Drosophila melanogaster: one gene and its partner. The protein of the gene in region 1 interacts with the protein of each later gene in a pairwise test. Each region holds a gene or a part of one and is shown in the gene's direction. Other genes may lie near its edges.

Region 1 (3,869 bases):
ATCTATGCATGAACAACTGAGCATGTTGGTGGTGATTTTCGGCTGGTCATGAGTGCCTATTGAATCTGCAATTAACTTAAGCCGTCTCCAAGCGAGGATTCGTGGTTATGCAACACGGCTAGCATCCAATCATCACCATTAAAAAGTTTATCAACGAGTAACGGAAAGCTTTCAAACATGTAACTCCTTCAAGAGATATAAACTTAGTAAGTATGTATATGTCTGTAAATGCAGCAGATGCATGAGCTAGGTTGTGTACAATCAGTTTAACAATATATGAACTTCGAAGGAATGCTTCAAAACTATTTGATTAGCTTGCAAGAAATGAACTGAGTATAAGAAGCAGTTCTTCGATTTGTGCATGACCAATGATATATGAATATACATTTGAATAATATTAGTGACATTTATAACTAATACCATCCTCGATACGAGTGATTTACAATGAAATTTTATAGCATGCCAGCGAATTTGATTTCAATGATACAGAGAATACTTATGTAACAGGCAATCAAAGGTCGAATACAGATACTCAAACGATTTAGTTTTTAAATGGTTGTGTTTGTGATTCAGTGTAATGTGATATTCGGTGGGTGGCTTTCGATGTGAATGTATTTATTTTCATCAGTAATGAGACTACAACAAACGGCCGGTGGCTGCAGCAGCGACGATCAACAGAAGCGGATGGTCGCTATATATGCTATATGCTATATGGCTAGGCTATATGGCTACTCAAACGGATCGAATTTACATACAACTTATAACGCATATATATAGCACTTTCTAGATGTGGCAAGCTTTTAAGCAAATCGATCGGCAGCGGTACATAATTGCTGTGGTTGCTGTTGTTGTTCGTAGTTCATTGCGATTGAAAATAGGTGGTTTACCTGACTTAATGCCGTTGGCATAGCCTTCATCGTGTGAATATTTACCGGCAGGGGTGGAATGCCAGTGATTCCACTAGTTCCGCTCAGCAGTTTCTCCACGGACGTCTGTCCGGTTCCGTACTGCATCGATTGAATGGCATGGCTGCTTAGACTCGAGGATATGCCGCTGATTGAGTTGGGCACCAGGGCCGATATGGATGATAGGCCGCCTTGGCCGCCGCCCCCGACCACGCCTCCCGATCCAGCGGAGACGCTGTGGGCGGCAGCAGCGGCGGCCGCGCTGTGCGAGCCAAGACTGGTGCCGCTCAAGCTGGTGCTGGCCCCACCATTGGGCAGCGTGGAGGCCAGCGATTGCGGCAGGCTTGAGTAGCCGGAGGATAGGGCGGAGACACCGCCGCCGCCGCCGCCGACGCCACCTCCTCCTCCTCCGCTTCCTCCCAGAACTGCTCTTTTGTAGCGGTTCAGTTCTTCTTCGAGTTCTGCGGGCATTACAAATTCCATTCTATATTCTATTTCTGTATTAGTGTTATCTCTGGCTTGCTTACCACTCTTTGATATGGTTCTAAATTCGCTATTTACCGTGCTCAACATGGAACTGGGCGGCAATGCTGACATGCTGGCGCTGGCCGAGGTGCGAGGTTGTTCCAGCTCGGCCAGCACGCGATTATCCTGCAATTAGGCAATAAGGATAGATAGATTTGTAGTAAAATGACAATTCTCTAGAGAACTTGAATGTACATCTTAATAGGCTATTACTTTAGCATTGATCTATTATTTCCCCAACTGCCCTGAGAAGTCCGAAGTAGACAATTTTGTATAGAAAAAAATCCAAATTCAACGTGAGCAATCCAAACCAGATTGGACGGATGGATAGCTCGGTGCCATCCGGAGCCGAAAGCGGTCTTATCAAGGAGTACAAGGACTTTGCCAAATGCCTGGACGAACTGGAGTTCAAGACCGATGAGCTGCTAATCGATGCTAAAATGGTGGATCAGGAGTTGGCCAACTGCCACAAGTTTCGCGAGGATCAGCTGCTGAAGCATCTGACGGAGAAGAACGACGACGACGAGCAGATGCAGTTGCTGCGGGAAAACATCGAGCTCAAGGCGACCGGCGTTGAGTTCCAACACGGCATTGAGCTGATCATGGAGAAGTACCGTGAGCACAGCGAAGGGGACATGTTAATCGATACCTACCAACTGAGGGAGCACTACCTGGCCGGTTTGTCGAAGGTGGTCGAAGAGCAGGATGCCCGCATCGAGCGTATGGTTGATGTGATGAAGCTAACTGTCGACTTCGAGGACCGGAGCAGTGCCGAGAACCAGCAGATCATTTGCCAGCTGACTGATGAAAATGAGCAGTTGCGTCGTCAGTTGCAGATCAGTACCACCGATGAGCTGTTCCGCCAGGGAGCACTGAGCTCCAGCGAAAGTAGCACTCAGATCGGACCAAACGATTCTTTGGATTCGAGTGCCACCCGGGAGAATAGCATCTACAGCATAGATAGCTTCCTCTCCTGCCTTTCGCCGAGCAGCGTGGAGGATGATTCGGAGTGCTCATCCAACAATTCGCTGCTGAGTGAGCTGGAAGTCACTTGCTTTATTGAGGAGGCTCTGGCCGAGAAGCCCGAGGAGTAGACCTACAACATGGACGAATAGGCACAACACACGTTCCTGCCCCACTGCAACACTGGCTGTTTACGTTGATTGAATACTTGGTACTTGGTACCCGAAATATAATTTCATTCGAGGCTACACTATCCACACACTACTAGCTGTCTGTTAGCTGTTGCTGTTCTTTCATAAAGATCTATATACCATTTGCACTCCTAGGAGATTAGTTGCACTTAAATACCTGCTCAATCTTTGCCATTATGATATCAATCTCGGATCCTTGGTCCTGGTGGCTGATTGTCGGTGCCCAAGTGACGGTGGAGCTGCTGGCCGATGTAGGAATGGTCGCGCCGCCACCGGAGGACACGCTCCCCATTCCGGAGCAGGCCGAGCGGGATGCCTGTTTGGCCTTCAGAGCCGACGTCAGTTCGATTTGCAGCTCCTCGCAGCGCACATTTTCCAGCGCAACCTATGGATTTTTAGAGTTCAATACGATTGAGTAGATATGATTTGAGGGCATATAGTCACCTTCTTTTCCAGTTCCCGGGCTCTCGACTGCAGATTCTCCACCGCCTCGGCATCGGGACGAGCGCTACCGCTCAGATTGCGTATTTGTGCCAGGGTTTCCTAGGATAGCATATATATATAAATACAGATAAACAAAATGTTCTATAAATCCTATAACAATACAATTGCAATATACTGTTCTTAAAATCAAACTATAGTACCATAGTTTTTCATCTGAAATTCCATTAATATGTGCATGAGTTCACGGTACCTGGAAGGACACTCACCTGATGCGCCCGCTCGATCTCCGTGCGCCGCATCTCGGCATCGCGCAGCTGCAGGCTGAGGGCGTCCAGCATTCCGTTGGGGGTGGTGCCAGCGGCCACGGCAGCGGCCGCCGACTGATGATGGTGCATCGACTCGTACGGCATGCTGTGGCTGCCCCTCGGACGACTGCAATGGAAGCGATAATCGCACATGAGAATGGGGTCAGTGAATCTGCAGCACGACGAATGGACGAACTGCCGCTGGGCAAAGACTGCAGGACTTGGCAGCTATAACTAGTTGCTGCTTTTATTATCCCTTATTTATTCATGCGCCTGATGGCTGGTGCCTGCTGCCTGGCGAATGTGGAAATAGGTCAGCTGCCTGGCACGCACGTGTCCTTGGGGTTCAGTGTGTGTGCGTGTACGTGTACGTGTGTGTGTTTGGATTGTTGCGAACTTTGAACTTTGGGTTAATTGCCTGCCTGACCGTATTTATTGTCCACGCACAGCCTACAAAATCTTATATTGGTCGGCTCGGCTCATTCAAACGCTTATCTTAATTTCATAGTTTGCAGCACAAGCTGTCGTTTATGGTT
Region 2 (6,325 bases), on another chromosome or scaffold:
ATCCTCGCTTCGCCGCAGGCTCTTTCTCAGCTCTACAATGATCTGATCTCGACTGGCCAGCTCCTGTTTCAGCTTGGCATCGAGCTCGATCCGCAACTGGTTCATCTGTTCAGTGTGCTCCTTCTGGGCGTCAAAATAACGAACCTCCATGGCCTGTTTCTGGGAACGCAACTCGGACATCTCGCGATAGAGACTTTTGTTGGGTGACTCTTGTTTGGAGCATGCACCGCACAACTGTTCGATCTCCTCGACGATTAAATTCATTTTTTCTTCCTGGAGACACAATAAAATAGTTTCACATTGCTAGTGCATCATAGCGGTTGCACAAAAACATACCACTAGGTTAGACAACTTTTTTTGAGTTTCCTCACGCTTTTCACTAGCCTCGAGATCATTTTTAGCCCTCTGAATTCTTGGTATATGGTCGTAGATTAACAAAACCCCCTGATCTACAATCGCACGACACCTGGTTTTCAAGTCATTCATACTTTCGGCGGCTAGAAAATAAAAGTATGCAATTGTAAGCGAAAGAAGGATAATTCAAGGATAACAATTCATTCAATCGAAGACGTAAAATCAAAACGAACTTACGAATACTCTTGGGCAATCGAAGTAGATCATCATGGTGGACCACAAGCTTGCATTCATCGTTTACAGTCAGACCCACAAACTTGAAGACCCCTTGATTCCGGAGCTCCGAACCCATTAACCGGATCTTGTGCATAAACTCGGACTGCAGGTTCTCCAGTTTTTTTTTCTGCGTATCAAAGACCCGCATCCGGTTCATCTCCAGGACACGGCGATGCGACATCTTTTCAGGCTTCTTTACATTTTGATAAGGTTCTGTGGACGGCAATAATCAGAGAATTGGACCACGTTTCAAATATTCGCGATACCCACCGCATGTCGTTGACTTAACCAATTGTGCTGACTGGGCATGCGTCTTTATGGGAACCACGTTCCGCTTGGGGGGATTCAACTCATCGATATCAGTTTTCCGATCGGGCTCAACTACTTTATGCTCGGGCTCGACCCGTCGATTGGGCAACGAATACGTACTGACACACGGGCGCGCTTTCGTCGAAGAAGTAACCCGTTCCAGAGAAGTTTTTCGCGAATGGATAGACGACCGACTCGCTCCACGCCTATTTGGAATGTGACTGAGCCTACCTTTGTTTGGGCTTCCGTCGCCATTCTGGGTGGGAGGAGTAGAGAAGACGCCACCACAAGAAGAAGTGCGAGACTGGGACGGGGATGTAAAGCATTTGAAAAAACTAAACCCTTTTCTTCTATCTCACTCACCCATGTAGCTTTGTCTGAGGCTTGCTTTTCCGCCTTTCCAGCTGTCCTCAGCAAGAATGCTTTGTTACCTAACAAGGATAACGAGCATTTGAAGCACACATTCGTATAGCGTTCAAGGTACATGTACTTACTACGAACTGAACGCGGCGTCACGCTGGAAGAATTCATATCTAAAGTTTCGGAAATCAACGCTTTTTTGTAAACGATTTTTGTGTTCAAAATGAGGAAAAAATAGTATAGAAAATTTGTTTCTAAATATTTCCAGTTGAACTACGTCTAGTGTAAATGGTACAAAAATGCTTTCTGACCAATCCAAACGAGGTGGTTCGTGGAAGTAACATGAATTCAAACTCAGAGCACACTTGTTCAGTTCCAATGTACCCGGTGTTTTTGGGGTCTGTTTGTTTAGAATGAGCGTATGAAAACTAATGGTTTCTATCAACAAATGCGAATCTGCAAAAGAAGCGGAAACTAAGCTAAATGGGAGGGAAAAGTAGAGAGCAGTTTTTCCCTCTCTGAGGTTCTCCATGTAATCCATTCGTCGGTCCCGAATGATGCACATCGTCCATCCAATAATCGACTCGGCGAAATTTGCATTCAGTTGCTGTTCGTGCGTCCACCGAGTAAGTTCTTAGTTCGGATTTCCCTCTAAAAGCATATATTTCGAGATTGTTTCATTTACGATCCATCAATACTGAGTAACAAGAGTATGAAAAAACAATCTGTACCACCTTGCTATTAGTTTATTTTCTCAAAATAACTTAATCAACTGGATTAACATACATGATGTGCTAGTGAAAGTGGGTGCTACAATATAAGTGCAGTACTGAGGTGAAGAAGCCCTAAAAGTGACTTTAATGATTTAGATCCATGGGAAATGGACGTTTGTCACCCCCTTGTATTCGAATTCGCTGTAGACAGTCGGCGCGTTTTTCAATTGAATTTAATCAGTGACGTAGACGGTCTATATAGTACAGACTATATATTGTATATACGCAATGCGATCCGATTTTCAAGGGGTAAACAACCAACAACCCGCCTAGTTCAAGTTCCGCATGGCAATTGAGCTGGCATAATTTGGATCTCAAAGGAAATGGAAAGTGTCTGCGAAAATAGCAATATGCACTATGTGTGACATCACGCAAAGTCATTCAATTGAAGGCTATTTCTACGAATTCAAGTTCAGTTTGAAACTGGAAGTAGGCTCCATTGGTTGCCATTGACATTCGATACCAATGCGGATAATTAAGACAATTAAGTGCTGGCCAGAAATAGTTTTTTCCCCCACAACCACGTGGCTGCATCAAATGATTGTAAATTTGTATTCCCACTCAATTTTGCATTGCAGCTCTTTGAAATGAAAGCTCTGGAAGGTTTCACTATTCTTCTCGCATTAGTGGGTGTTATTCCCCGGATCGAGGGCTGCATTAGGGTCCCACCGGGAGTCACAGCAGCCAAGTCACCGGTGGATGATAACTATGTGCTGTCCGTAAACGGAAATACGCAGAGTTATGTGCCCGGTCAAAGGTATAATGGTGAGTGCATTAAATTAAGCATTAAATTAAATTAAATTTACAAATTTCTAGATTTTTCTTTCAATTCTCTAATCTTTCGCTGCTCGTTTTCAGTTAGCCTCAGTGCATTTTCTGGCTTGTCCTTCATTAGCTTTATGCTGGCCCTGGATTTGGAGAGTGGTGACGGCGATGGTGACGCCAATGCCCTGGGCACCTGGGAGATCGCCGATCTCGCCGAGACCCGTTTCAGTCCGCGCTGCCCAAATCTTGTCGAGAATACCAACACGAACGTGAAGACACGCGTGGATGTGTTCTGGGTGGCTCCATCGAGTCCGGGACAGGGCTGCATCCTGCTGAGGGCTACGGTGATGCAGCATCGAGATGTGTGGTTCATGGATGATGGCTTCCTTACCAAGCGTATGTGCGAGGAGGAGGTGGACGACATTGACACCCAGCCCAGCATCGTGGATCCGTGCTGTGCCTGTGACGAGGCCAAATATGAGGTGGGACTCTTTTAACTCATTATTGAAATGGTATTAACACCTCCTTACTTCAGCTTACCTTCGAAGGCAAGTGGTCGCGTCACACACATCCCAAGGACTTTCCAGCGAATAGCTGGCGCACCAGATTCAGCGATATCATTGGTGCCTCGCACACACTGGACTACAGATTCTGGCAGTATGGAGAGCTGGCCAGCGAGGGGCTGCGTGAGGTGGCGGAGCATGGCTCCACAAGGACCTTGGAGAGTGAGCTGAAGGATCAGAGCGAACACATTCGCACGATCATCAAGGCAAGGGGCATTGCCTATCCGAATGTTACGGGCAAAACATTTGCCGTTTTTCGCGTCGACTCCAACCACCATTTGATCTCCCTCGTATCAATGGTGGATCCCTCTCCAGACTGGATCGTTGGTGTATCCGGCCTCGAGCTATGTCTGCCCAACTGTTCCTGGGTGGAGAACAAGGTGCACAACCTATATCCCTGGGATGCGGGCACCGATAGTGGTCCATCATATATGGTAAGACGATTTCCATGATTTAGTCTTCAGTAGAGTCAATCACGAATACTTTTCAGTCCGCTGACCAGCCACAGGTGCCTCCAGATGTTGTGCGCCGCATCAAATCAAATTTCCCCAACGATCCCCGTTCGCCCTTTTATGATCCCACTGGTGCCCAGATGAAGCCATTGGCCACCCTGCACATCAATCGAAGACGACTCTACGAAAAGAACTGCGAGTCCTCCGATTGTAAGTTAAATGCAACCATATATTGATGTTGTGAATATACATACTATATACTTTAATCCTGTAGCGGAACAGGTACCGCCGGAGTGCGCCACAAACTCGTGGTCCAGATGGGATGAATGCACCACAAAGTGCGGTCCCGGCAAGCAATACAGAATCCGAGAGTTCAAGAACCCTGCATTGGCTTCGGTAATTAAGACGACATATATAATTTGGATCCCATACTATATATACATTTTGACACCTACCTTAGCGTCATCGTTGCAACAATGCCCTGCGTGAGGAGAAGAACTGCGTGGGACACAAGTGCGCTGGCTTCAATGAGGAGACAGCTGAAGGCGGCGAGCCGGAGGTGGCGCCATCACCAGGTAGCAGCGACGATCCCCAGTGCGGTCTGTCTGACTGGTCGGAGTGGTCTTCGTGCACCGTGACTTGTGGAACCGGCGAAATGACCCGATCCCGACACTATCTAAACAAGAAGGCCAAGAAGAAGTGCCAGAAGGCAAGCAGGGCGCGTCTGCATGAGACCAAGATTTGCGAGGCAATGGAATGCGGTGGGGACATCGAGAACGAAGGTGGTGCTGGGGAACCGGAGGAGGAACAGGCCGGTGGCGACGGAGGTGGATCCGCTGAGAAACGCTCCATATTCCGCAACTTCGAGAGTTACAGTCAGCATCGGGAGGATTACATACCACCGGTTTGCGGGGTCACTCCATGGTCGGATTTCTCGCCGTGCATGGGGCCATGCGGTGGACATGGAAAGCGGCAACGTATTCGCAAGGTGTGGAATAACAACCAGGTGTACGGAGTAACGGATCCCAATGATGACGGCCAGGATCCCTGTCGACACATCAAGCTGCACGAGGAGGTGAACTGCACCAATCCTAGCTGCGATACCATTGTTCCCGGCTTCTGCTACGACGAGCTGACCGACAGTCCGTGTCGGGATAACGATGTGGCCAACTTCTGGTACTACGACCATGTGAGTGACCAGTGTGCCATCTATTGGTCGGATCGTTGTGATACAAATCGCAACAAATTCAAGTCGAAGGAGGAGTGCGAGGAGACATGTCGCCTGCCGCGCCACAAACAGGAACTGCAGCACGATGGCATTCCAGCCATTGATTGTCTCGTCTCTGACTGGGTTTCCCACAGTTGCAACGCCTCCTGCGGCGATGGCTTCCAATTGCGAACGCGTCGGGTGCTCCGTACTCCGAAGTATGGAGGCAAGCCATGTCCCAAGCACCTGGTACGTTTGGATCGCTGCTACCAGCGGTGCGATGACATGTACTCAATCAGTGGACGGGGATTTGGAGAGCGAAGGCATGTGGTAAGAGCTCCGCAACCGGAACCGCAGGACGAGTGTCGCTACTCGGAGTGGTCCGCCTGGACACCATGCACCGCCACGTGTGGCGATAATGCCGTTCGCCAACGAACCCGAACCCTAATGAACACCGATCTGAGCTACAAGTGCAAGGATCGCGTCCGCATGGAAAAGTGCGTGATGATGCCTTGCCAGCTGACCAGCAACGATGATCCAGAGCGGTGGTGAACATACCATTAACTGCTACAAGTATTAGTTCTAATCCAACTATGTAATCATTACCAATGGATATCGTTAAATATATGAAAAATTCCAGACTACCTACACTAGCTCTTCTCGCAACAGATTAAATATGTATTAAAAACAATAAAACAGAATTGTGTTCGCGTGGTAATTCCAATTCCGATTGAGTTTAACCTTGACCCAGTTCCATTAAGCAAACAGTGGCCAGTTTACGAGTGATTTTTCGCCGGGTTGCAAGTTCAAAGAACCCGGGCACAATTCATCAATTGAAAAGCTTGCCATAAAAACAAACCATTCCTAATTGAAGACAACTCAATCAAGATGCCATAAGCTGTCAACGCCGAGAGCGCCATTTAAGGGATAATTGATAAATTGGAAATGCTCATCAATTAATGGAGATGGCTAGCCATCAGTTTTGGTCAGTCGCCGTTGAGCCTCGACCCAGTACGGATCGCTAAGATTGAGAAGAGATGCTTCGCCATATCGTGCTCCTCATTCTGCTGTCTTCCGAAGTCAGAGGAGTCTGCAATCGGATACCCCAAGGTGCCAGTGGCCCTCGATCGCCTGTGGATGATAACTTTAAGATCCTTATCGATGGCAATCCAGAGACCTATGTGCCAGAACATCAGTACAATGGTGAGAGTCTCGAGTTGTCCTGAAGCTTTTACTTCAACATTATTATCATCATAAGTTTCGTTA

What was found.
Region 2: the proteins of h-cup (region 1) and CG17739 interact in a two-hybrid assay, tested with the Drosophila melanogaster proteins (one large-scale study listed by BioGRID).

Annotation. Positions count from the first base shown.
Region 1 is NT_033777.3:15,380,754-15,384,622, reverse strand, and holds h-cup (heineken-cup), read left to right. Parts: upstream 1-1,671; 5' UTR 1,672-1,753; coding exon 1,754-2,524; 3' UTR 2,525-2,741; coding exon of another isoform or gene 2,742-2,969; 3' UTR 2,970-3,028; coding exon of another isoform or gene 3,029-3,127; 3' UTR 3,128-3,216; downstream 3,217-3,869. Other genes in the region: Rbp (RIM-binding protein), read right to left, coding at 888-1,366, 1,433-1,556, 2,742-2,969, 3,029-3,127, 3,295-3,460.
Region 2 is NT_033778.4:12,304,629-12,310,953, forward strand, and holds CG17739 (uncharacterized protein), read left to right. Parts: upstream 1-1,899; 5' UTR 1,900-1,925; intron 1,926-2,650; 5' UTR 2,651-2,659; coding exon 2,660-2,837; intron 2,838-2,930; coding exon 2,931-3,319; intron 3,320-3,372; coding exon 3,373-3,834; intron 3,835-3,890; coding exon 3,891-4,062; intron 4,063-4,126; coding exon 4,127-4,248; intron 4,249-4,312; coding exon 4,313-5,611; 3' UTR 5,612-5,784; downstream 5,785-6,325. Other genes in the region: salto, read right to left, coding at 1-273, 337-497, 592-843, 901-1,243, 1,303-1,370, 1,434-1,470; CG30203 (uncharacterized protein), read left to right, coding at 6,097-6,262, 6,318-6,325.